Astyanax mexicanus: one gene and its partner. The protein of the gene in region 1 interacts with the protein of each later gene in a pairwise test. Links are inferred from orthologs where the notes say so. Each region holds a gene or a part of one and is shown in the gene's direction. Other genes may lie near its edges.

Region 1 (12,367 bases):
CAGCGGCCGTAGGTTTGTGATGTCCAGCGGCAGCCGGTCCTCTGGGCAGTTGTGGTGGTGGACGAGCCAGGCGTGAATGCAGGTGCTGCAGAAAGCATGCTCACACGGAGCCTGCAGAGGGTCCTCCAGCACGTCCCGACACACACAGCACAGCAGACCCTCATTTACATAGCCCACGAAGCGCTCCACGTCATACCCCATCCTGCTCCTCCACACACAGACTTATTCATGAGAGAAAAACAGAGATAAAATGTGACAAATGTGGTGCATTATTTATTCATTTACAGTGGTATGCAAAAATAATGACTAATGTCTGCTTATGTTAAAGCATGGCTGCTTCATAGTTCACCTTAAAAATTCACAAAAAAAGCACAGAAACTTTGACATGCACATAAGTCTGTATACCATATTAAGTTAATTATTTGTAACATTCCTTTGACCTGATTGTTTGAGGTATGCTTTGGATCAGTGTGCTGTTGTGTCCTAAATTCCAGCTTCTTCTCAGCTTCACTTTCTTGACTGACAGTTAAAGTTTCCAGTCATTTCTGATACCTAGTGGAACCCATTCTAACAACCAACAATACAGTGTGCGCTGAGCCACTGGATGCCACACAACTTCAAAAACTAATAGAATCACTCTCATATGTTAGTTATTTTATGCTACTTTTAAAACAAAATAATAAAACAAAAAAAAAATCTGCAGATGCTATGTTCACTTCATTTCCCTGCAAAAATCATAAAAAAATTATATTGATAATTTATGTTTTATATTTTATTAGTTTAAATAAATAAAAATATATTGAACATTTTTCCATTTTTGTAGAAATAATTTTTTTCTTTATTTTATTTTATATGTTATGTTACTTGAAGTGCCTTTGTGAATGAAATAAAATGTTTCTTCTCAAAACGAAGAAAAGATTTTATACAGTATATTAATAATTTCATAATATTTCATGGTATTGTCGCAATAACGATACTACTAGCAATATAACAAAAGACTGAATTAAAAAAATATATTTTAAGAATACACTACTGCAAAAAAAAAAAAAAAATCAATGATATGGCACATCCCTAACTGAGATATAAAAAATACAATAATTATTATCAGATTTATAACAAAAGTCAATGATCCAGAATATCATAATACTAATAATACTCTCCATATATTCAGGATTAAAGTAAAATAAATGATACTGGACAGATATAATCTGTCTCTAGTAGATATATAATGGGAAATGAGAACAGTGTGAATTTACTTTTGCTAAAAACAGCACAAAAGTAGTACGCTGGTGTGATAATTAGGGGTGGGTGACATGACACAATATTTCAGGGTATAATATTGTTCACAATATTCAAAAATGTTGCCAATATTATTGTGTATGTTACGAAAGGGCAATTCATTGGAAAGGTTAAATTATTGTACTCAACTAAACAGTATTATAATAGACAGCCATCAATTTTTACATGCTAAAATCGATATAGTTGAACCCTTACTCAAGAATGCTTATAGCTATTTAAAACACTTTACTACATGTTCTATAATGCAAAGTAGTACTAAACACTGACAGAACAATTCCTATGAATAAAAATACCCTTTTTTTCAAATGATGAGAAAGCTCTTCTTACCTGTCAGAACTGGTGCACACCTGTCTGTCTCTACTGCTGCTCTTCAATGGTGGTTGAGGAGGGTACGCTTGGTGGTTTCCCTGGGAACTACAGGACCAGCAGCTGTTGAATGGAGAGGCAGGGGACAGGGTTATCCGGGTCAGAATTCAGTGGAGGAGGAGCTTAGAGACAGTGAGGTCAGCTTACCTTTTAATACATCAACTTATTCTCACAGGAGGCCATTCCTCACCTAATGTACAACCTACTGAGACTCCACACGTCCGAGAGTCAGCTTTACAATTAAACCACCATTATTCTGTCTGTACAATAATATCGCTGTTACATTAGAGACTGTTTGCATCTTACTCTTAAAAAGTAAATGATGGGAGAAATCTAATGCAAAAAACGAAATAAAACCTTATTTTTAAAAACTGTAAATTTAATTATCTATTAAAAGATTCACTCATTTTAATTCATAATGGACTTCTGATACATCTTCCAGATATAAATTTCCCCAAAAAAAAGCAATCAAGACAATTTTTTTTTGCATGACACTGACAATATTTACTTTTTATATATATATATATATATATATATATATATATATATATATATATACAGTATGCATAGTATTATAGGCGTATTAAAAAGAACTAGACTAATTCTAGCTGCATACATCCATGTTTAATTAGATTCTAATGCAGCATCCATATTAATATTTAATTGTAATGTATCTGTACTTTCTACACCCCTGTAAGTGTGTAGTGTATTTAATGTATATTTGCATGTAACTCATTGTGTATTAATTTCTGTATGGCAGCAGCAGTTAGCTGGATCATTTTAAATAAAATGAATTGTGTATTGATCTCTGTATCACGGCAGCAATTAGTTGGATCATTTTAAATAAAATTAGGTAAGTTTATGCAATCTATTTTTTTTATATATATTAAAGGTGTTTTCATTTAATATGTATTTTAATATTATGTTTATAGGCTCACACTGAGCTGTTCTGGGAATCCCTGTCTCCTATAAACACATGTAGCTGCAGTAGTCCTGGTAACACCCCACACCCACTACCTTCACCTGCACAACACACACACACACACACACACACACACACAGGGGACGAGTCAACTCCCTGAAAAACAATTCCCAGCGTCCCCAAGAGAAATCCAGTGTATAAAACAAGATGACAAAAATCGCTATAATGATTACTTGATTAAACCTGATCAACTTTTTTAAAAACACAGAGATTCACGTTTAACTTCCCATTGGTTTGAGAGCCTGACATAACACACATTTACATACTTTTTTCTTTTTTGCTAGATGAAAATACACTACATTTCAAATACAAGTCATTTTGGTAAATGTATCAGTTCTGAAACAACATAATGTATAACTGCCCTCAATTTAATTGAAGTCTATGTCAAATATTTTATTTCAAATAAGTTTTAAGCATTCCTATTGGTCCATTCATCATGAAAATTGAGCTGGGTATTTTTAATTGCATTTCGCTTCTATGGATATTTTGAGTTGTAGTGCAGTTTACAAAAAATAGTGGGTGGGAAAGTTTTCATTCATTTTTTCCAATTATAGTTTATAATTTAGTTTATAGTTTATAGTTTATTATAGTTCCAATTATCTCTGCACCTCATTAATGGATTTTCAGGAAAATTAAAAAAATATATATTTTCTTTATTTTCTGCTTTTTTTCCATTTCTGTATTTTGTAACAAGATAAATAGATAAATCTGAAAATATTATTATAGGGAATATTCACCTTTTCATTTTTTCTTTCTGTTTGCCAAAGGCTGAAATGAAAAACTATATAATTGAAAAATTGAATGAAAACCAAGTTCTTCTTCACTCTACTAAATGAAAAAAATAATAATTACGTTTTATACTCAATTTTCTATTTTTTAATTTAGATTGATACTTTAGAAAATTAAACTGCGAAACATTATACTGGCCGTGTACCTTACAAATGATCTTAAGAATTCTTTTGAGCCGACATGGCGAGTGCAGTTAAAAGAGTGCCTTTTAAAAAGCCAAATTAAAATGGATGGTTGATGTCTGTAAGAGCATTTGATAAAACAGTATTAAACAATTTAATAAGTTTACAGTAGAGTATTATAGAGTCTTCAAAGGGCTATGTATATATATATATATATATATATATATATATATATATATATATATATATATATATATATATATACGTATATATATACGTATATATATATATATATATATATATATATATATATATATATATATATATATATATATATATATATATATATATATGACTGTGACCTCAAACACACATAGTTTACATATACTGAATTTCTATTATATTATTTCCCTTGAAGGATCTTCTGCTTTGGCCCTTCCTCGTGAGTGGGATCTTAAGGTATACATGCTGTACATTTAATCCTGCACGTGTCCACTCAGGTGACCATTAATTACCACCAGGTCATCCTCACGAGAGGTCAACCTGCAGCCCAAAGGTCATCTATAGTGTTATACTCCACCTGCAGCTGTTGCAGCTGTTCACTGACTGGCATTCATTAAAGTTAAAGAAAAGTTAAAGACAGTGTGTGGACACTCTGGACAGGTTTTTTAAGGGAAACAGAGAAGGACATGTTTATTAAGGACAGTTGTGTGTGTGTCTGTCTGTGCCGTTACTCTCACTGCAATCTCCTGAATGATCTCTGCTCCTCGTGGCTGTGGTGGGATTACAAAGGATTACAGCCTCCCGGACTGTGATTGGATTATAATCTCAATGGCAACACTGCCACAGCAGCAGACATCAACAGCTGATTTATGCATGCATTTCTAAACATGCACCGGTCAACTGTGTCCTCTCAGACAGACACGCCAGATGTTAAATTATCAGACATATAGTGTAGTAGACTCCACTGTTTTACATGCATCAACTTCACATTTTGATTTTGCACATATTTACAGATCTCATGCATTTTTAATGTGCATGCAACTGCTTTATTCACAGTGCACATAACAGACACTCATTATACCACAAAACATAAATGCATTGTTCAGTAGGGTATTGCACTGTTGCATTACTACACTATTACACCAATATATTTTTATGTATCTGCTTAAATGCACACAATACACATACTTATACTCATATATATATATTCTTATTTATTTATGTATTTATTTATTTTTATCTATCTATTTATTTATTTATTTACTTCTATCACCACTACTTATTGCAGGACTATGCAAAAGATGCATCACCTACCTGCACACGGGTTTAATATTCCTCACATTCCAGGTCTTTTCTTGTCATATTTAGACCCCAGTACACTGGTATCCTCTCAGATGCTGCATGCAGAACACTTTAATGCTGTTTCTGCTCTTCACAAACACTGTGTTCGCTCCGCCCCTTTCAGGACCGGTTCAGCGCTCGACCAAGGGTTGCCAAGTTCCCGGTATTCACAGTTTTCTGGGGATATTTTTAAAATGTCATAATCAGTTTTAATTTAAAGTTTCACAATCAGTTCCTTCACCATTAGGACAGGATCAGTCTGCCGTGAATCTTGTTTTTTCTTGTGGACCAAATTGCCAGCTTTGCTGTCCCATGCCATTTTAATCCCATAATATTTAAAACCCTACTTTTTCCTTTTTAGAAATTAAAGTATTTAGGACCAAAAAAAACAAGTTCCTTAAAATATCCTAAACCCAAAGAGAGAGAGAGAGAGAGAGAGACAGAGAGAGAGAGAGAGAGAGAGAGAGAGAGAGAGATTTATTAATAAGAGGAAGTAACAATCACACAAAAAACTGTAATTATCATAAACTACAGCAAGAAAAACTCACAAATCATTACAGCACTTTTGCTGGAACTATAGATACATATTGTATGTGGTGATTCATTAACACTGACCATAGCCAAGGTGTCGGCAATTATTATAAAAAAAAAATCCTTGTAAAATAATTATATAACATTTTAATTCTTATTATTAATAATAAACTAAAATCAATACTAACAATAATGACATTATAAACCAAATATTTAAAAAAATGTATAAATTAGAGTTTAAATTTAAAAACAAAATAAGATTAACAGACCCAAATATCAAAAGGACATTGTATCATCGTTGATTTTTCCATCACTGTGGTTTTCATCTGTTTGTGACCTCAAGCTTAAACAAACTTGGGTTCTGCAGCAGGACAGTGATCCAAAACACACCAGCAAGTCCACCTATGAATGGCTGAAGCAAAACAAAGTTTTGACTTGAATCCTATTAAGATGCTGTGACATGACTTAAAAAAGGCAGTTCATGTTAGAAAATCCTGTAATGTGGTGAAATTAAAACAATTCTGTAAAGAAAAGTGGACCAAAATTCCTCCACAGCACTGTGAAAGACTCACTGCAAGGTACCACAAATGCTTGATTGCAGTTAATGCTGTTAAGTGTGGAATAACCAGTTATTAGATGTAGGGGGCAAACACTTTTTCACAAAGGGTCAGGTAGGATTGGATTGTTTTACTCCTTTAATAATAAAAACTTCATTTAAAACTGTATTTTGTGTTCACTTGTTCTGTCTTTGACTAATATTTAAATTAGTTTGATGATTTGAAACATTATAGAGTGAAAAACATGAATAGAAATCATGACGCTTCAAATACTTTTTCTCACCACTGTATATAACAGTGAACAGTATTTTAGCCAGTCATGCAATGACCAATATTCTTCAGTAACTGTGACACATTCACTTCGCGTGGACTGCAGTAAAGAAAGAATGTGTCTTTAAAATAGTATGATTGTTGTGTTATGCTATTCTATTATTGCTATGTCCGTGACATTTAATGGTCTAATATTGTTTATCACAAAAATGTCTGGGAAGACACACTTCGGTAAAAAAAAAAAAGAGACTACTAAAAAAATGCTTAGTTTCTTTGCTTTTACCAAATTAAAAAACATCTGCAATTGAATCAAGCGAAATATTGAAACAATTTTCACCAGGAATGGCATAAAGTTATCCAAAAGCAGTGTGTAAGACTGGTGGAGGAGAACATGCCAAGATGCATGAAAACCATAATTAAAAAACAGGGTTATTCCAACAAATATTGATTTCTGAACTCTAAAACTTTATGAATATAAACTTGTTTTCTTTGCATTATTTGAGGTTTGAAAGCTCTGCATTTTTTTTTTCAGCCATTTCTCATTTTCTGCAAATAAATGATCTAAATTACAATATTTTGGAATTTGGAAGAAATGTTGTCCGTAGTTTATAGAATAAAGCAACAATGTTCATTTTACTTAAACATATACCTATAAATAGCGAAATCAGAGAAACTGAAGTGATCTCTTAATTTTTTCCAGAGCTGTATATCGTCCACAAATTATTTTTATTGTGACAGGCTGACGTTTATTCAATGTTCTTTGCTACTAGGCGAGGTTTTAAGTGTAGTACACTTTTTTAAATGAGTTCTAGTAGTTTTTTTCTATTTACATTTTCTTTCCTTTCAACGTCTGTGACAACATTAGATAGATGTTGGGTTAGTTTTTAGGAGTTTTGCTGGACCTGGCAACATAAGCTCGACCAATCAGCGATGAGCTATGTCTTCCCGGCGCGAAACTCTGTGTAGGTTTCCCAGCAGCGGTAGGAGCTAAAGTAAGCGGAGAAGTTGTAGTTGAGCATTTGTAGTATTTATACGGGAGGATTTCACGATAAAAGGCAAGTGAGCGATATTTTAATCTAAAAACGATTAAACTTCAGCTGTTCACAGCGGCTGTCTGTTTTACTGCTTCTTACAGATATATTTCACAGCTGTAGTTATCTTAGCTAGCATTAGCTCCTCAATCTGACAACAACAACAACAAAATGCAGCTAATTTCAGTTTAGCTAGCAACCTAGCTGCCCCTGTAAGTTACCACCTCCCAGTTTATACACTCACTCATCATACAGGACACTTGACACTCTCGCTAGTTAGTTCTTAACTTCGCTAATTCTAGTGCTGGACGGTATGACCAAAAATGTAAATCACGGTATTCTTCAAGATTCTGACAGTTTCACCGTCTATCACGGTATTTTTATTATAATTTATTTATAGTTTTTTGCATGACTGGGCTTTATTATAGGTTTGTGACTTAAGTTACTCTACTGTCAGGAGTACATATAGCTAGCTAATATCAAATATTAAGGCTTTAACTCTTTTAGACTCTTTTAGCATCCATTGCAGTGGACATCTTTTTTTATTATGTTTTGTTGCACATCACACTATTTTAGAGCTGTTGTCCATCAGATAGGACTGGGCGATATGCACAGAGCAGCTAACCTGTAATTTAGGTGTTGGATCTGTCTCAGCACTGCAGTGTTATAGTGTGATGTGATGAAATTGTGGGATGTGTGATCTATTATAGTGTGATGATGTGTGATATTGTATGTTATCGTGTGATGTGTTGATATGTGTTATGTGATATTTGTTGTTGTGTGTTATAGTGTGATGTCATTGTGTGATGTGTTATTGTGTGATCTATTATAGTGTGGTGTGATGTGATGTGTTATAGTGTGTTATGTTATCGTGTGATATGTTTTGTTATGTGATATTGTGTGATGTGATATTGTGTGTTATAGTGTGATCTATTATAGTGTGATCTATTATAGTGTGATGTGATGTGTTATAGTGTGTTGTGTTATTGTGTAATGTGTTACTGTGTGATGTGTTGTGCTGGTACAAGTAGATTAGACACAGCACTAGCGTTTCAACTAGTGATTATTTTGGTAGTCGATTAATCTGACAAATATTCTTTTTCCAATTTGTCAAAAAAAATCTGCTTAAACAGCTGTTCTGATATTTAGTAAGACATTATGTAATCTGTTGTGTCTGCCACTTTTGTTGACCAAGCTAAATGTGATTTGTGTTTCTGTCCCCAGCACTTTGTGTAGTGCAGTGTCAAATTAACGATTAGTCGTCATTTTTTGAATAATCAGTATTGTCCATTATGTCCATTAACTAATTGTGTTGCAGCCCTGCACAGCAGTGATATCAGCATGACCACCACAACCAACTTGACCAATCTATAACAAATTGGATTAGTGCAGTAAGAGATGTACAGTATTTACATTTGTTCATCACAGGGAGCTTTTTACGTCTATGCCAGTTATTCATTTGTTTGCTCCTCAGCTAAAATTCAACTCAACTGTACAGTTTAAAATATTTTTATGATGAATGCAATTTAAATGTGATTCATTTTGATTAATATTCACAGGGCAAGTAATTAATTATTTTTTTTTTTACTCGCCTGACAGCACTATTATTAATAATAGACCTCTTAATTCTGACTTCTTAATATCACTGATTCATTAAAACTTGGCACAAACTTAACAGTTTTGATGTGTTTTATCTCAGCATTATGCGCCGCTCTGCAGCCCCCAGTCAGCTTCAGGGCAATGCTGTGAAGAGGCCGAGGTTTATACCTCCTGCCCCCTCACAGACTGGAGTACTGGGCAATGGAATTAACAAGGTAAGCTAACTAAGGATTTTAGGAAAAGTTGATAGGCTATCTCAGTGTATGAATGCTGATATGGGTTCAGTAATGTCTTTTACATGACAAAAAAATCCAGGTGGTCAGGTAAAGAGCTGATAGTAAATTAGTTCGTTTTTTTACTCTGTTACATGGATTGCATTTCAAAGGTGCATAGCATCTGATTTGACAGGATACTTCAGTGTATACTTCAGTGTACTTCAGGTTTATGTTGTTTTAACCCAGTTTACTTCACTAGGCATGTACCAGGTCTCCAAAGTAACACAATCCACTGTCCCATGGACAGCTCTTTTGGAAAGGCAAATTTGAGCTGTTTATTAGATGATTGCTGGCTGGTTGAAATATGAAATTTTCCTAATACTTAGCACAGAATCTGTTTACAGATACATTCCCACATTTCAACATAGAGCCAGTCAGGTTGCTGGTAACACCAGGAGATGATGCCTAGAAGATGAAGTCTAACCAAAGATGTTATGGCAGTAGAATAATATGCAGATTAATACAACGACAATACACAATGAATACAACAATAAAGTGTAATGTCAAAAAATATATTTTGGGAATGATTATGATTATTAGTTTGTGGGAGAGCATGATAGAACGCTTCAGGCAAATCTGGGAAAGTTGTGAAAAAAGTTTGTCTGGAGGCCTGATGTGCACTTGCATGAAATCTGAGACTGAATTTATATTCTAAACTAAGCAGCATAGAAAATTATTTTAAACAATATATTTTAGAATTAAGCATATATAAATGTTTGTTATTAATAATGAGTATTTAATTTTTCAAAAATAGCCACATACCATAATACCCCATCCATGTTTTTTACTTCTTGCAACAGCATCACCAGTCTCAGAGAGTGGAGAGCCATGTTCCTGCACCTGAGGTCAGTAATTATTTTTTTTAAAATAACTTATTCTCTGTCATCGGAGCAAATGTTTGATTGGCTTTTGTCATTTAAAAATGTCATACTTACACCTCGAGAGTGTAACTAATTTCACTTCCAAGTTGTAGTTTAGGTCTTTAATGCTACACTTTACAATCTGTATACCATTTTGTTTCCTTTTTTTCCCAGTAAATAAAAAGTATTGTGCAAACAGGACATGTTTTGATGAATTTTGAAATATAAATCCAAACCATTTTAAACACCTTTAATAATCTTCTTGCACATGTAAAAAAGGGTAAAGTCTTTTTTATTTCTAGTGTTAAACCAGTAAAAACATAATTTTATGATGAATCAAACAATAGAAAATTACCTTAAATTAAATATTTGTACATGTACTTGAAATATAAGATAAAAAAAGTTGGAGTTCAACAATGTGCAATTAAAGCCTTTATTTTAAACAAGAATTATTTTGACAGTTTAAGTGATACTACATTTTTTTTTTCACTTTTTTGATCTGTTTCACTTTTTCCCACTTTATTCACTTGTTACATTGCATTTTAAAAATCCACTGCCTCTGTTTAACTATGTAATTTTCAGGTAAAATTACTTAATGATATGAGACATCTTAAATTCCTTTGAATTTTAACAAAACACTACCAGTGAAGTTACTGCATTTTTTGTTTTGCATCACTTACAAACATCTGAACACTCAGTCCAAACTATAATAATAAGATCACAAATTGACAATGTATGATTTCTGATGATGATGATTGTGTAGACTGCAGACTGTTGTTATAAATGTATCTTTAAATTAGCTCCTGATATAACTATCTATCTATATCATTAAATAGCATTAACCTAATGTAGTTGTCTTTTTCTTGGATGTATGAGAAAAAGAGGGTTTAAAGACAGTATTATAACCTAATCGCCTATTTGCAAGTAATATACGGATTGAGTCTAAAAAATAAACAATAAATGCCTTTTCTTTGCAGGTCCAGATAAGCTTGTCTGAGAGGACTGTTGATGTTCCAGCTGTGCCCAAAGTCTCTGGGGTGTGTAAAGCCTTAGCCAAGGTTCTAAGTGCAGTCACCCCGACCGAGAGTAAAGAAAATGCCCCGGAATTACAGAGGGTCCCCCTGGAATCAGAACAACACCTGGAGTCTCCCAAACCAAACCGACAGGATCAGCTTAAAAAGCACACAGACACAACCTCTCCAGCTGGTAAGATGCAGTATGTTTATTGTTTAGTTTAGTTCACAGACCAAGCAAAAAAGCACTTTTAATTAAGAGTTTATTGTTTGTGGATGGAAAGAAGTAGGTGTTTGTTTTTGACTAGTTGAGTTGAATGAGTTGATGAGTTGGAACCAAATGGCAGTCTTGAAGAGAGAAACCTTTCATTCTCTTTAAAGAGTGTTTTTCATACTTCCATATTTTGAAGAAGCCTCTTTTCAGTGACCAGTCCACTGATCCAATTAATTGGATGGGATATTGTATTTATTTCTTGCTGTGTTGCATTTTTATAGGGACACTGTTATGCACGTAGATATGATACTTTGCTGCCTAGATTCCACACTGTACACCTAAAGACAGACTTTTATGGATTTTCACCATTTTACCATACTAAAGATTAAATGGGAGATTTAATCAGCAAGTATTCACATTTCACAAGGGAACTTACATCAGTGGGTGAAGGACAAATCTTTTTATGTTTTTTTTATTGTAGGACAAACAGAACTGTTCTGTACACTGGGACAAACATAAATGATAAATAATTAATAAAAAAATATATACATATTTTTTTTCTGAAATTACCTATTTTTCAAGTTGATTGTAAAACTGGGTATCTTGGGTAAGAAATAAACTAAGCAGAACATGTAATATGTTTGGTATTATTCAATTCTCAAATTACCCATCCCAGAGAGCAAACATTTGTTAAATCAACGTTCATCTCCAACGTTAGAATTAGTTTATTTGTGCACATTAATTTTGCTTTGATTCAGCGTATTAAAAGTTAATTTATATTAAATATGTGTATATTGTAAGTATTCTAATCTTAAAGTTTGTACTTATACTAATACTATTAGTATTACTATAATAATTATTATTTGAGGGAAACGTCTTTCACCTAAAAGCATTGTGAGTGTAGAAGAGCTTTAAATAAACGTTGATTTTAATGTCATAATTTCAACACTATCTGATGCCTATTAGACAATGTTAAATGGTAAAAGGTTGATTTAAGGTTGTTTTTCCATCATCAGTCTTAAAAGGTGTTATGCAACAAAAAATAACGTTGTTTCAATGTGCCTTATTTATATTAGGTTATAATAACTAAGATAACTACTTTATCTTAAGAACAT
Region 2 (13,288 bases), on another chromosome or scaffold:
AGAATAGATGAAAAAAAAGGATCAATAACAAGAATTGGATGAACAATGATACGTTCAATCTGAGGTATAAATGGTCTGAAAAATATCTGTTTTAATCTGTAGTTTTCTCTTCTCAGAGGACCTCAAGGAGAAGCTGGATGAATATATTGACTTAATCCATAAAGAAAGGCCTGGTGTTGTTAAGAAAGTGATACACAAAGAGCGTCTGGGTCTTTCACATGCACGCATGTCAGGATGGGAGGCTGCTGTTGGTGATGTTGTGGCCATTCTGGATGCCCACATTGAGGTGCATACAAAATGGTAAAGGAACATTCTTCAATTCTTCAACACACATCTAACACATCTTCTCCATTACTGTTTACCAATATCATTCTGATACAGAAGAAGGCCATTGGTATGATATGCTTTTAATCTTATCTCTGGTGATATAATATGCCCCCACTGGTAGCACGTAAAGATAAAGGCCCAATGCAGTTTCTTTTTCAGAGTGTAACCCTTCCCCTATAGGCACAAAGTTACAAGCTAAAGTTCAGTAAATTAGCTGCTGGTTAACTAATTAACTTTAGGGTGTTATATGTCTTCAGAAAGAGGGCAAGTGGTGCTGCAATTAATTATTACTGTCCATTCCTTAATTTCTCCCTCTGTGATGTGGAGCTGAAATTAGCTTTTATTAGCTTTTATTTTAATTTATTTTTCCATTCTACCTTAAATGCTGCTGCCTTTGCCATCTGTGGCACCATTGAAGAAGGAATGAGAAAGTAAGCAAGCTGGTTTGTCTAGTTATTGAGACTCGTTTGTGCTTGTTATGAAGAAAAAACTCATAATACATTGAAACTAGGCTTTAAACAGTAGTAATATAGTTGTTATAATATTTTTTTAACATGAAAAATACTCAAGTTAGTCAGTTTCTTCTTTTCATTCCTCTGTTTTAAGTATGTCTTTGAAAAAGCTCAATTTGAAGAGCCATGTAGCCCTAACTCTACTTAGGACTAAATGGTAGGGCCAAGGGGTGAATTGGGATTGGGCCAAACTGCCCATAGAACTATTAGTCAGTACTAGTCAGAGTTTAATTTTTGGTCTACTGTTCTTTCAGGGCAGAACCACTACTGGCAAGAATCAAAGATGACAGGACGGTGGTGCTGTCTCCAGTGTTTGATAGAGTGGACTACGACACCCTAGAGGTGATTAAATATGGAACATCTGCCCATGCTTTTGACTGGCAGCTTTGGTGTATGTACGAGTCCTTCAGGCCAGAGTGGTATGAACTGAAGGACGATAGCGCTCCTGGGAAGTAAGTCACACTTGGCATCACCTTACATCAGAAATCTATCTAAAAATCTTGTATACTGGAGTTAACATACAAACTGCAAGTTAACATAGCTAACAAAAGTTACCTCAGTTATCTGTTTGTACAATCCCAAATCAGAAAAAAAGTTGGGACAATATGGAAAACACAAATAAATAAAAAGATGTTTCTTGCATTTTCCATTTCCATTGAACCAACAATTCTTGTGTTTTGCCTGGTCACCTTCGTTTTATTTGAGGTATAGAGGTTCGTACAAATAATGTCAACAGTGTCAACAGGTTTTTTTTTTCCTTCTAAGTTTTTACTATTTTCTCCCCACTTTATATGGTCAATTACCCAACCCACTCATTAGGACTCTCCCTATCACTAGTGATGCCACAACACCAGGAGGGTGAAGAATAACACATGCCTACTCCGATACATGTGAAGTCATCACTTATAGGGTGATGTCGATCAGCACAAGACATCTGTGAACTGATGTATCAGAACCGAGACACTACACTTTCCTCTGAGTGCACCGTGCTGCGACTTGGCATCAGCAGCAGTTCAAAAAGAGGCAGCTGCTGACTTGTGGCATCACTAGTGATAGGGGATATGTAGCTGCAGTTGAATGGGTGTGACAATTAGACAGATGAATTGGGAGAAAATGGGGGAAATTGAAATAATAAAATAAATTCTTAATAAAATCTTTTTTAGTGCATTTTTAGTGTTTTAGATGGTTAAATTAGTTTGTTGTACTCAAGTAGTTCTGTGTGTTGATGGTTAATAACCCTGACCAGCTCATTAACACATGTCAATATTTTGTAGGAGTCCATCCGTCATGGGAATCCTCGTGGCTGATCGGAAATTCCTGGGAGAAATTGGAGTACTGGATGAAGGAATGCTAGTTTATGGTGGAGAGAACGTTGAACTGGGAATACGAGTAGGTTGTTACTTGTCTCTTTTCACCGCAGTACAACAATGTTACACGCTGCGACACTATATTTAGTCTGGTCTATGCTCTGTTTTAGGTTTGGACCTGTGGAGGAAGCATTGAAATTATCCCATGCTCCAAGATCGCCCACATAGAGAGAGCGCATAAGCCGTATGCACGAGATCTGAGCATACCACTGAAAAGAAATGCGTTAAGGGTGGCTGAAGTCTGGATGGATGAATATAAAAGAAATGTTCTTATTAGCTGGAATCTCCCCTTGAAGGTGTGTAATCCTATTATTAATCTTTAAGGTTTAATATGACTTTCAGCTCTAACAACTTAAAATCTTATAGGAAGGCTTTCCACAAGGTTTAGGAGTGTGTTTATGAGGTTTTTTTTTAGCTGGTTTGGCTCAGATGGTGTCCAGCATGCATGGTGATGCATTGGTTAAGGAGTAACAAGACAATTGTTCCTTGCTTACAGTAAAGCATGGTGGCGGTAGCATCATATTCTGGAGCTGCATGAGTGCTGCCGTCACCGGGGACCTAAATTTCAACACGTATTGTGACTAAACCCAGTTAAGAAGAAGGTGAAAGAGTGCAAGGTGTCTAACAAACAACAGCTTTATAGATCATCAGGAGTTGGAAGAGGTTTTCAGCTGTAACCTATGCCACTCCATGAATTCTATGCCCAAAAGGATTAAGGCAGATAATGGTGGTCACACTAAATATCAACACTTTGGGCACAATTGAACATGGACAAATACACATTAATGTCTGTGTGATGTGACAAGTTAATTTCTAAAAAGTTGTCCTATGAAAATATATATAATAAAATATCTGCAGAAGTGTGAGGGGTATACTCACTACTGTATGAGCTCTTAGAGTGTGTGGTGAGGGACTGGTTAAACAAAATGATTGATTGATTATTTAATTTATATAATAAAACCTTATCTGTAACATAGACACTGCTGTGTTACCTCAGAATAATACAACTGTCCCTTTTTTTAGGATCATGGAATTGATATTGGGGACGTAACGGAGAGAAAGAAGCTGAGAGAGAGACTCAATTGCAAGCCTTTCAAATGGTACATGGACAATGTGTATCCTCAGCTTGACACCTGGGAGGATCTCGTTGGTTACGGTGCTGTAAGGAAATTTTATTTTCTACTCTAATTTACGTATTAAAGGTATTTTAGGAATGATGCCTCTGGTTGCATAATAAAATGTACATCATGATTTAGCTTCTGTAGGAACTAGCATAATAAATCTAATTCATTAAGAATTGCACTTCCAGCCAGTAGACTTAAGTGATTTTCTGTTTTTGACCTTTTACAGTTGCGGAATGACTTATCAGAGAAAAACTGCATTGATCAGGGACCTGTTCCTGGGAGTGTTCCTATTCTGTATCAATGCCATTTCTATGGCCCACAGGTATGCACTTTGATTAAAAAATTTAGACAGTTAATGAGGACTGAAGAGTCTTTTAATTTGCATAATTTGTATGAAAAGAAATATATCATGGAAATTGGCATGGCAAAATTACATTTGTACATCTGACATATTTATTTGTATTATTTGGTTTGATTAATTAACTTTTAAAAGAGAGTGAATATACTGTAAGGACATTTTCGAGTAACATCTAAGGAGTTGCTCTGGGTGGATGTTTGGGTTACTGAGAAAGGACAACTTGTGTGTGTTTTTCTGTTTTAGCATTTGGCCCATTTGCAGTCACATTGGATATTCAGTTATTTTTTTAAGATATTAGAATAAACTTGAGTTTAACACTTTCAGACAAAAAAAATTGTCTAACAAGATTTTAATTTTATTATTATTTCTCTTTTATCTGGCTGGAATGGGCTTCCAGACTTTGTCAAACTGTCTGACAGCTTACTTTACAGCATTTGATCAATACTTAGTTTTTTATTGCCACTTCAAAGTATTCTCACATGGAAAATTGTCCCTGTTGCACAAAAACCTTGATACTTCAAATTTTCAGATTTTTATGTTTGGGCATAGTGTGAATCTGGCAGTTTTCCAATTTTCCAATACAACAGACCAAGAAAAATGCTTAAAAAATCTTCATTTACTGACTTTCCACTGAAAGTTAAAAGGATTTTCCTTCTCTTATTGAAGACATCAAATATTTGTGTCATAAGAAGAAGAAATACCTGTACCACAAGGGTACACTCTCCCACTTGTCCCCCAATTTTTCACATAGGATTAAACTCATGTTTTTTTATTAACTACTTGATTAATCGGAATTTCATATATGCATTTTTTATACAGAGCTGTTACTACAGGCGTAGAGGGGAGATTTACATTGGAGGCATCAAATCCCACAAGTACAATAATAATCGTTGTCTGGTGGATCCTGGGGAAGGACACACACCGGGACTGCATGACTGCAAAATAGCCAAGGAGAAAGGGTTACACATGCACTGGGACTTTAAACAGGTATGTACTCTGCTGAACGGGTTAACTGATGACAGGAAGCTTTGTAAATTAGTGGAATTTGGTTAAGTGGCCAAACATTAACCTGCTGAGTGAAACAGGAATAAAGATGGAGCACTTTTATATTAAAGGGCCATCCTAAAGCCAAGGAAAGTTGAAGAAAGCAAACAGGATTTAGATTTAAAGTCCAGCCCTGTTACATATTTGCCACCCATAGCAGGACATCCCTGATAATTATCCCTGATTGCCTTATAATCTATTGTGCCTTGTGTAAGAAAATAGACCAAAAAATAGACGTTTATTGACAGGGCGCCTTATAGTGCGAAAAAGTCTATACATTTTATTCATTTTTCTCCAAATAATTTCATAATGTACTTATAAGACTTTGACACAATGATCTGAGGAGATCGCTGGTTTGAATCCTGGATCTTGCTGCTTGCCATTAGAAAAGAATCTAAAAGTGTGCAATCAGTCTAGCTCTCTCAGGGCTTAGTTTGAGTTCATTTCTTTTCTCACCCCTAGTGTGATGTGTGTGTAGCATTTTGGCTACCCAGAGATGTGTTGGGGCATTGCCAGTGAGAGCGAGAGCTTATAGGAAAAAGGGTTGTGTAATTAGCCTTCCAAACTGCCTCGAAAATTATCCATAAATCTTAAAATGATTCATTTATGTATTTATATGTGTACTTGATGTTTTAAGTACTAAGATTTAATATTAATGAATTTTAATCAATGTCTATTTAATTATCTCTCTTTGCTTTACCTACAGGGTCAGGCAATCAAAAACAGAGACACAAAAAGGTGTCTTGAGATCGCCCAAGGAGCTGATTCATATTACCATCTTATAATTCAGGACTGCACTGGACAACACTGGACAATACAACATTTGATACAAAATGCTTAGCAATCTTAAAAGAGCCCAAAAAAAAAATCTAATTTTCAAATGTCTCCTATTCGTCTAACTTATCAGTGATATTTTTGATGGTTTAATAGCACAATATAATCGCAAAATATATTCCCATTATTGCTGTTATTTTTGCACAGAATGGGATTTACTGTTGTGTACATGTGAACAGTTTTACAGAACTGTGTTGAGTTACTGAACATTGGTATTTTTGAAGGGTTTACTTATGTTTTATTGAAATTGAATTCCCTAGAGGAAAAAATGTATTTAGTGTTGGGCGTGGAAAGAATAAAGTGTTATTTGAATGTTTACCTCTTCTCATTCAAAGTGTTTTCTTTCTTTTTATGAATGAAAATGTTTTCCATTTTAAATTTAATATTGAAATTGAATAAGAAGGTGTGTCCAAACTTTTGAACTTTTTGGTGCTGTATATTCACCCTGAATTTCTTTCTAAACTTTTTGAAAATGATATTTGAGCTAGCTGGGCATTTTCACTTGATGGCAGGTAACGATAGTCTGCTGTAAGTTGTAATAGTGCACTAAATGTATAGTTTACTAAACATTTCTTTTCCAAATTAATAATTTATTAGAAATCTAATTACATATGTTATGTTAATCAAGTATCAAATTGTACAAATGAAATGAACATATAAGAAAAAAAGGAAAAATAAAGGTTTAAAAAAAACATCTTAAAATGTTTAGAGAGTTATTTTTGTTGAGATTTGATTCTGTAACAGTTCCCTCTATCCCTGCTCCTGAAGAGCTGCCTTCACACATCACACTTCAGATCCAACCCCTTCTGACCCAAATAAAGACTGTCTTTAAAATCCCTTGATTGAATAATTGGGTTTGATTTGGGCTGGAGTGAAAACCTGCAGAAAATCTGTTCTCAAGAAGATCTGCAATAAAGTGCAATAAAGCAGCTTTAGAAAGATGGGCTATGGATCCCCCTAGTGATCAAGCCAGAAATTACACTGGCAAAAAAATCATTTAGAGAGGAACCAAGACTCCACAGAAGAAACCATCCTCGTGTGGTCGAAACTGGATAGATTTATGGATGGATTTATTTATTAATTAATAATTAATAATTTATTATAAATAATTTAATTATTAGGGCGTGGTTTATGGTAATGTATTCACAGCTGTTTTTAAAAGTCCTCACTGGACTCTATTGCACACTGCGTAATAGAGGTAATTACTACCTCACTGGTCTTTTTTGCACACTGCATAATTTGCACACTGTCTTGATATTTATTATTCTTTGTCTGTGTGTTGTATTGTCTGTCTGCACTTTTGTACTGTTGCACTTTTTGTTCTGTCTACACTGTGTTTATGTGCACCATGGTCCCTGGTGTACTCTGTATATAGCTGAAATGACAATAAAAAACACTTTGACTTTGACTTTGAATGAAACAAAAACAGCTATGCTGCTTGTGTTACATTTTTATAATCAGAATTTAACTTTTGGTCTAATGTGCTTTTAGGGCAGAACCACTTTTGGCAAGAATCAGGACCGTGGTGCTGTCTCCAGTGTTTGATAGAGTGGAATGTGCCACCCTGGATGTGATTAAATATGAAACGTTTGCCCATGCTTTTGACTGGCAGCTGTGGTGTATGTACGAGTCCTTCAGACCAGAGTGGTATGAACAGAACGATGGGTCAGCGCCTGGGAGGTAAGAGACTCTATCTAGACAATCAGTGGCATCAGTGTTAATTTTGACAGCTGATTTTGATTTAGTTGAATTCTTTTGACAACCCCTGAGAGCTGCTTGCTCTGTTAGCTGTGAAACAAAATGACCTTTTGGCCATGCCTTAATGGCTACGATTTAATAAACTCGTTATCATATAATATGATAAAGCAGTTATACCATCTAATGGTTTTATTAAGATTCATAATCACACAGAGCTAGTTGAGTAGTAGTGGCGCCCCCGGTGGAGAATCTCTAGTTTGCAGGATCTTCTACAGCACAGAGCAGTAAAAATAAGTGTCAGCAGAAAAAGGAAAATAGAGAGAAAGAGTTATTCAGTCTAGTGTAAATTAGACCTTCACTCCACTTTAACGAAACATTCATGCTGGTCTAAACGGTGTATATATATGTTTAAACGTGATGAAATTAGACCATTATATATTTCTAAATTCCATAATTTATCTCTATTTTTTTTACTGTATTTTTACAATAACTACTTTACATTATACAAATACATGTTTTTTTTTTCCTTTTTAGAGATGAATTGAAGATGATTTTTTTTATTTTACCCAATTGAAAACCTCTGGAATATTATCAAGAGGATATAAGGATTGATGATCACAAGCCATCAAATCAATCTAAACTGCTTGAATTTTTGCACCAGGAGTAGCGTAAAGTTATCCGAAAGCAATGTGTAAGACTGGTGGAGGAGAACATGATGCCAAGATGCATGAAAACTGATTAAAAACCAGGGTTATTCCAACAAATATTGATTGATTTTTGAACTGTTAAAACTTCTCTGCATTATTTGAGGTCTGAAAGCTCTGCATCTTTTTTTGTTATTTCAGCCATTTCTCATTATCTGAAAATAAATGCTCTACATGACAATATTTTTATTTGGAATTTGGGAGAAATATTGTCTGTAGTTTATAGAATAAAACAACAATATTCATTTTACTCAAACATAAACCTATAAATAGCAAAATTAGAGAAAATGATTCAGAAACGGAAGTGGTCTCTTATTTTGTTACAGAGCTGTATATATAAATAAGGAAAGGCAGGGGTCGCGTGCGGTTTTTATCTGGGTTGCTTAGTAACGCAGTGTTTACAGTGCTGCTGCTGCTGCTGCTGTGCGGACGGACGGAGCTGAATAGCGGAGCTGAGCTGAACCGCCGCCCGCAGACATGAACCCCGTCCAGCTCCCATCAGACCGCCTCTCAGCCGCTCACCTGGACCAGAGACAAACCCGGGAACTCCTGCGGAAAGAGCGGGTTTTTAACGCCAAACTGCGAACAATCGGAGTAAGTCTGAGCTTTAGTTCCCCGGTTATGTGATGATAATTATGAAATATATATGAGATCATGTCTATTTATTGCATGTTAAGTTGATAATGTAATTATCGTGTTTATATAGTTATCATGTAGTTAAAGGAGAAGTCTGGTGTAAAAATGGACTTGGGGTGCAGTGAAACATGATAATGAGTACACACTTTTGTCGAATAGCCCACCTCTGTTCAGCCCAGCATTCTGAAAAACAGCGCTTTTAGCCGAAGCTAAAACCAGTAAACTCAAACTCAAAGTAGCTCCACACTTCATAGGTAAAGTTCTGAGTATAAGTATTTAGAAGTATTCCGTAAAGTATCATAGAGAATTGTCTTACAATATATCGAGTTTTAAGCATTTTCAGGTTAACATTGAGAAGTGTCAGTTAACAGGAACAATGGAGATTAAGATATAGTTTACAAGACCAAAAGAAATTTCAGGAACAGGCGCTCTTGGGATTGCTAGAAAGGCAAATCAGAAGCTCTTCTTGACTGAAAAAGACCTTCTGTAAGATTTAGCAGACTCTGGAGTTAAAGGTAATGTGTTCTACTGTTCCGCAACACCTTCACAAATATGGCCTTCATGGAAGAGTCATCATAAGAAAACCAGTGATAAACCTAATAATATTTTATAAGCTTTAACATTTATGTAAAATTTTGTTGTCTTGCACTAGGTTGATAAGGAAGCTCTTGAACTTCAAGTGAAGGAAAGAAGGGATAAAGAACAAGCTGAGGCAAGAGCGCTAAAGGAATATGGTAAGATTTTGGTAAAGCTTTTAAAGATTTGCTTAATTAACTTTATTTTATGTAATAATTATTACTTGTTTATTTAAAAATACTGCAGATTCATTTTATTCTGATTTGTCTTTTTTCAGCTTCACAGGAATGTGTCGTTATTATTTTATTTTATATAAATATATTATTGTAGACCAAAATAAACCAAAAATAAAGAAACCACACAAAATACTCTTGTGTCATATCTTATACTATATCTGATCATGAAAGTATTGGCACAGCTGCTCATTCATAGATGTTTTTTTCTGGAATTAAGGGTGGTAAAAAATATAAAAAATAAAAGAGAGTTTCACTGCTTAATAGCTCAATTTTTCAGGGCTTTATACCCCTTTAGCCCACACCTGACAGGTTAAAGTTCATTTTTATCTGTGTCAGCAAGTCATCTATAAAAATGTACGTGAATGCATACATTAGAAGAGATGTCCACACATGTTTTGTGTGGTAATGTATTTAATAATAGATGTTAGAACAGACAAACAATTGATTCATTAGCAAAAAAATGCAAACCTTTGTCTGATCTTTCTGTTTTATCTTTCTTTGTCCCAAAAGTGGATAAGCTCATACGCAGTGACCAGACAGCATGCGTACTGGAGCACAGGCAGAAGAAAGATGAACGTCTGCTGGAAGAGGCCATTGTGCAGTTCCGGAGTCGTTTCCAGCATCCCAGCAGCAGACGGGAGTTCGACCTGAACGACTCTGAGTTCCTGAAGAAGCAGGACGGTGTGCGCATTTTGCCTGGGTTGGCTGGGGAGGATCTAGCCAGCAGAGACAGAGCACAGCGGCAGAGAGAGCAGCTGAGGGACTGGTCCATCCAGCAGCAGCAAGAGCTGGAGCAGACAGAAGAGCAGCAGAAACAAGAAGGTAGAGCTACACCATGTTGAACTGTGCTAGGGGCACTTTAGCACAAAATACAGTTATCTGTATTTGTGGCCCAGTGGTCTAAAGCGCTGACTCTATGATCGTGAGATCACAGGTTCGAATCCTGTTCATGCAGCTTGCCATCAGCTGCCAGAGCCCTGAGAGAGCACAATTGACCTTGCACTGTTTGGGTGTGTAGATGGCTCTATTTCCCCTCATCACTCTTGGGGTGATATCAGTCAGCACAAGGCATCTGTGAGCTGATGTGTCATAATAGAGTCGCTGCGCTTTTTTTCTAAGCACTCTGTGATGCTACTCGGCAGTTCAGTTAAAAAAGAGGCGGTGGCTGACTAAAAATGTGTCAGAGGGATGAGTAGAACTGAGTAGAAGCTAAATGGGTAGCATAATTGGCCTAGCTAAATTGGGAGAAAATGGAAAACAATGTAAATTAATTTATATAAAAAACAAAATAACGCTGATCATCTGCCGTCTTCAACAGATCTACAGTATGACCAAAGCCGAGTAGCTCTGGACAGCAGAGCTGTCGAGCTGCAAAAGATGGAGGAAGAGCACAAGAGAGCCAATACCATCGCCATCAAGAACTTCAATCTAGCTCTGGTGAGTCCAGTGTTGTAACTTTAAGTAAGAAGCCAAGTTTACAGAAAGTTCTAAATCATTGCTACTGTAATTGTCAGTATACGCATTTAAGTATAAGCCCTAAAATCATTCAGTCGGTCATTATCTACAGGCTGCCGAAAGATCTGAACAGAGAGAGAGGCAACGCCGAGAGGAAGAGGAGAACAACCAGGTGGAGATCCTGAACCAGCTGCAGGGGGAACTGCTGAACGAGAGCATCGAGCAGAGCAGCCGAGTGCCTGGACGTCCCAGACTGCGCAGGGACTGCTATAAGGGCATGACCCCCCAGCAGCTACTGCACTACAGCAACTACCAGAAGCAGCAAGCCGAGGACAGGAGGGTGAGTCACGAGTACCTTTAGGATCAAATTAGAATGTATTTATGGTTAAATCACGCACACACACACACACACACACACAAATAGTGGAAGCGCAAAATTACTGACATCTTTACAGTACAAAACAAGAAGTGAGGCGAAGAAAGTGCCTATAATAATAATAAAAATAATAATAACAATAATAATTATAACGCAGAATAACAGTATAGTTGCTAAATATAATAGTAAATAGTCATACAAATTATATAATATATAAGCACATATTAAAATTAAATAAATATATCAAAAGTAGATATTAATAATAATACAATAACACACTGTATATACATTTATACACAACCCGGTCAGAATATTATAACAACCTTCTTGTCTCTACAATTGTTTTTCATACTATATTTGGGTGTTGGGTTATTATTTTTAGCACTGCAGAGACTGCACTGACATGGTGGTATAAGATGTGTTAAGCCCTATTCGGACAGGATTAGTTTCTCAGGGGGTCCTGGGGAAATTTTCTCTTTTATGGGGGGGTCTTCTGTGATTTTATTCCCTTCTGGAATGACCTTTGATGTCCTCTGAAAACTACAGGCTAAATTACCTACTGTTTTTCGCTGAACTCCGTGGTCTTCCAGTAATTTTAGTCCTGTCCGGACGCACATCTCTGAGTTTCGTCACCAAGTGTTTAATAAAATAGCTATTTGTCCACTGCCCACTGCCACGCACCATAATTACACTTTGGGCGCGCGTTTCCAAAGAGATCCATGTAAACACAACAGCAAGTGGAAATGGAGGAGCTACTGAACGTGATGTCATGTGACCAAGAAAGCCTAAAAACTCACTGGTCCTCCCGTTTTTTCAATTGCAGTTCGGATGCAAGAGTTTTATCACTGAGTAGAAGTCCCCCGGAGAAACTAATCCCGTCCGGATAGGGCTTTAGTGTGTGTTGTGCTGGTCTGAGTGGATCAGACACTGCAGTGCTGCTGGCATCACTCAGAGAAACTCTTGAAGTGTCTTTAATTTTGTCTGACAGTCGTTTGTGTGTGTGTTTTAGCGTGTTCGTCTGGAGCAGCAGGAGGAGGATCTGCAGCAGGATCGTGAGCGTTTGGCTTCAGCTCGAGCTGCTCTGCTGCTGGAGAGACAGCAGGCGCGCATCAGCAAGGAGCTTCGCAGATCTCTGGATAACACCAACGCTCTGCTAGCCCAGGCCCAGCATGCACAGTGAGTAACTCACACACACACACTTTACTCTAAACAATGCTGTAGACAACTCAAGGCTGACCCAGCTGTAGACGGTCTTTCATCTCATAAATTTATTACAACATTATAAATATTGTCAGTTTTTGTTCAGATATCTAAGTCCAAATTTAAATCTTTCTTTCCTATTGCACAGTTCTGAACTGGATGCTTACAGTGTCTGGTTAAAGGAGAACTCTGGTGTAAAATTTACCTTGGTAGTAATAATAAAACATGATAAAAAGTAACTATCCTTTGTTAAATAGCCCACCACAGCTCTCCTACAGCTTTCTGAGATACAACTGAGAATTTTGTGTCTTTTGCCCAGCCGTATTGGGTCATATTTTGCCCAAAGAGATCGCTTTTTACACCGTTATCCAAGCTCAAAGTAGCTCCACACCTCCTTGGTAGAATCCGGAGCTTTGAGCTTTGAGCTGGATAATGGTGTAAAAAGCGATTTATCTGCAGGGGCAACATATGCCCCATATCATCCATTCTAAAGCATGTTTGCACGAACTGTAAAAAAAATATTGGATCCCGGAAAGCTGCAGGAGAGCGGAGGTGGGCTATTCAACAAAGGTAGGTACTCTTTATCATGCTTTACTACACCAAACATCAATTTCACACCGGAGTTCTCCTTTAAAGCAACATTATATTAGCAGCAGTCATTCCCATTCTGGTTTTAAAATGCTGCTACTGCACATTGTAACTTTGGTGAAGCTGCACAATCCTATTACTAAAGTATTACTCTACTGCCTCAGCCCACGTGATTCTCTCACATCAGATGCTGCTTCTGTATCTTTCCGCTTGTCAACAAATGCATGTATTCAGCTGATCATGAGGGGGCACT

What was found.
Region 2: the proteins of rad54b (region 1) and ribc2 interact in a two-hybrid assay, tested with the Homo sapiens proteins (2 studies listed by BioGRID and IntAct). The two-hybrid records come from large-scale screens. The link is inferred for Astyanax mexicanus from reciprocal best matches to the Homo sapiens genes RAD54B and RIBC2.

Annotation. Positions count from the first base shown.
Region 1 is NC_064408.1:109,699,921-109,712,287, forward strand, and holds the start of rad54b (DNA repair and recombination protein RAD54B), read left to right. Parts: upstream 1-7,205; 5' UTR 7,206-7,315; intron 7,316-7,358; exon of another isoform or gene 7,359-8,682; intron 8,683-8,990; 5' UTR 8,991-8,994; coding exon 8,995-9,105; intron 9,106-9,965; coding exon 9,966-10,010; intron 10,011-11,002; coding exon 11,003-11,231; intron 11,232-12,088; exon of another isoform or gene 12,089-12,367. Other genes in the region: rnf41l (RING finger protein 151), read right to left, coding at 1-201. UniProt on the Homo sapiens protein: Involved in DNA repair and mitotic recombination. May play an active role in recombination processes in concert with other members of the RAD52 epistasis group.
Region 2 is NC_064417.1:4,630,549-4,643,836, forward strand, and holds the start of ribc2 (RIB43A-like with coiled-coils protein 2), read left to right. Parts: upstream 1-8,359; 5' UTR 8,360-8,445; coding exon 8,446-8,562; intron 8,563-9,256; coding exon 9,257-9,338; intron 9,339-9,926; coding exon 9,927-10,238; intron 10,239-10,734; coding exon 10,735-10,853; intron 10,854-10,983; coding exon 10,984-11,211; intron 11,212-12,256; coding exon 12,257-12,423; intron 12,424-13,288. Other genes in the region: probable polypeptide N-acetylgalactosaminyltransferase 8, read left to right, coding at 117-300, 1,094-1,291, 2,114-2,228, 2,317-2,502, 3,230-3,367, 3,557-3,652, 4,508-4,675, 5,439-5,573. UniProt on the Homo sapiens protein: Microtubule inner protein (MIP) part of the dynein-decorated doublet microtubules (DMTs) in cilia axoneme, which is required for motile cilia beating.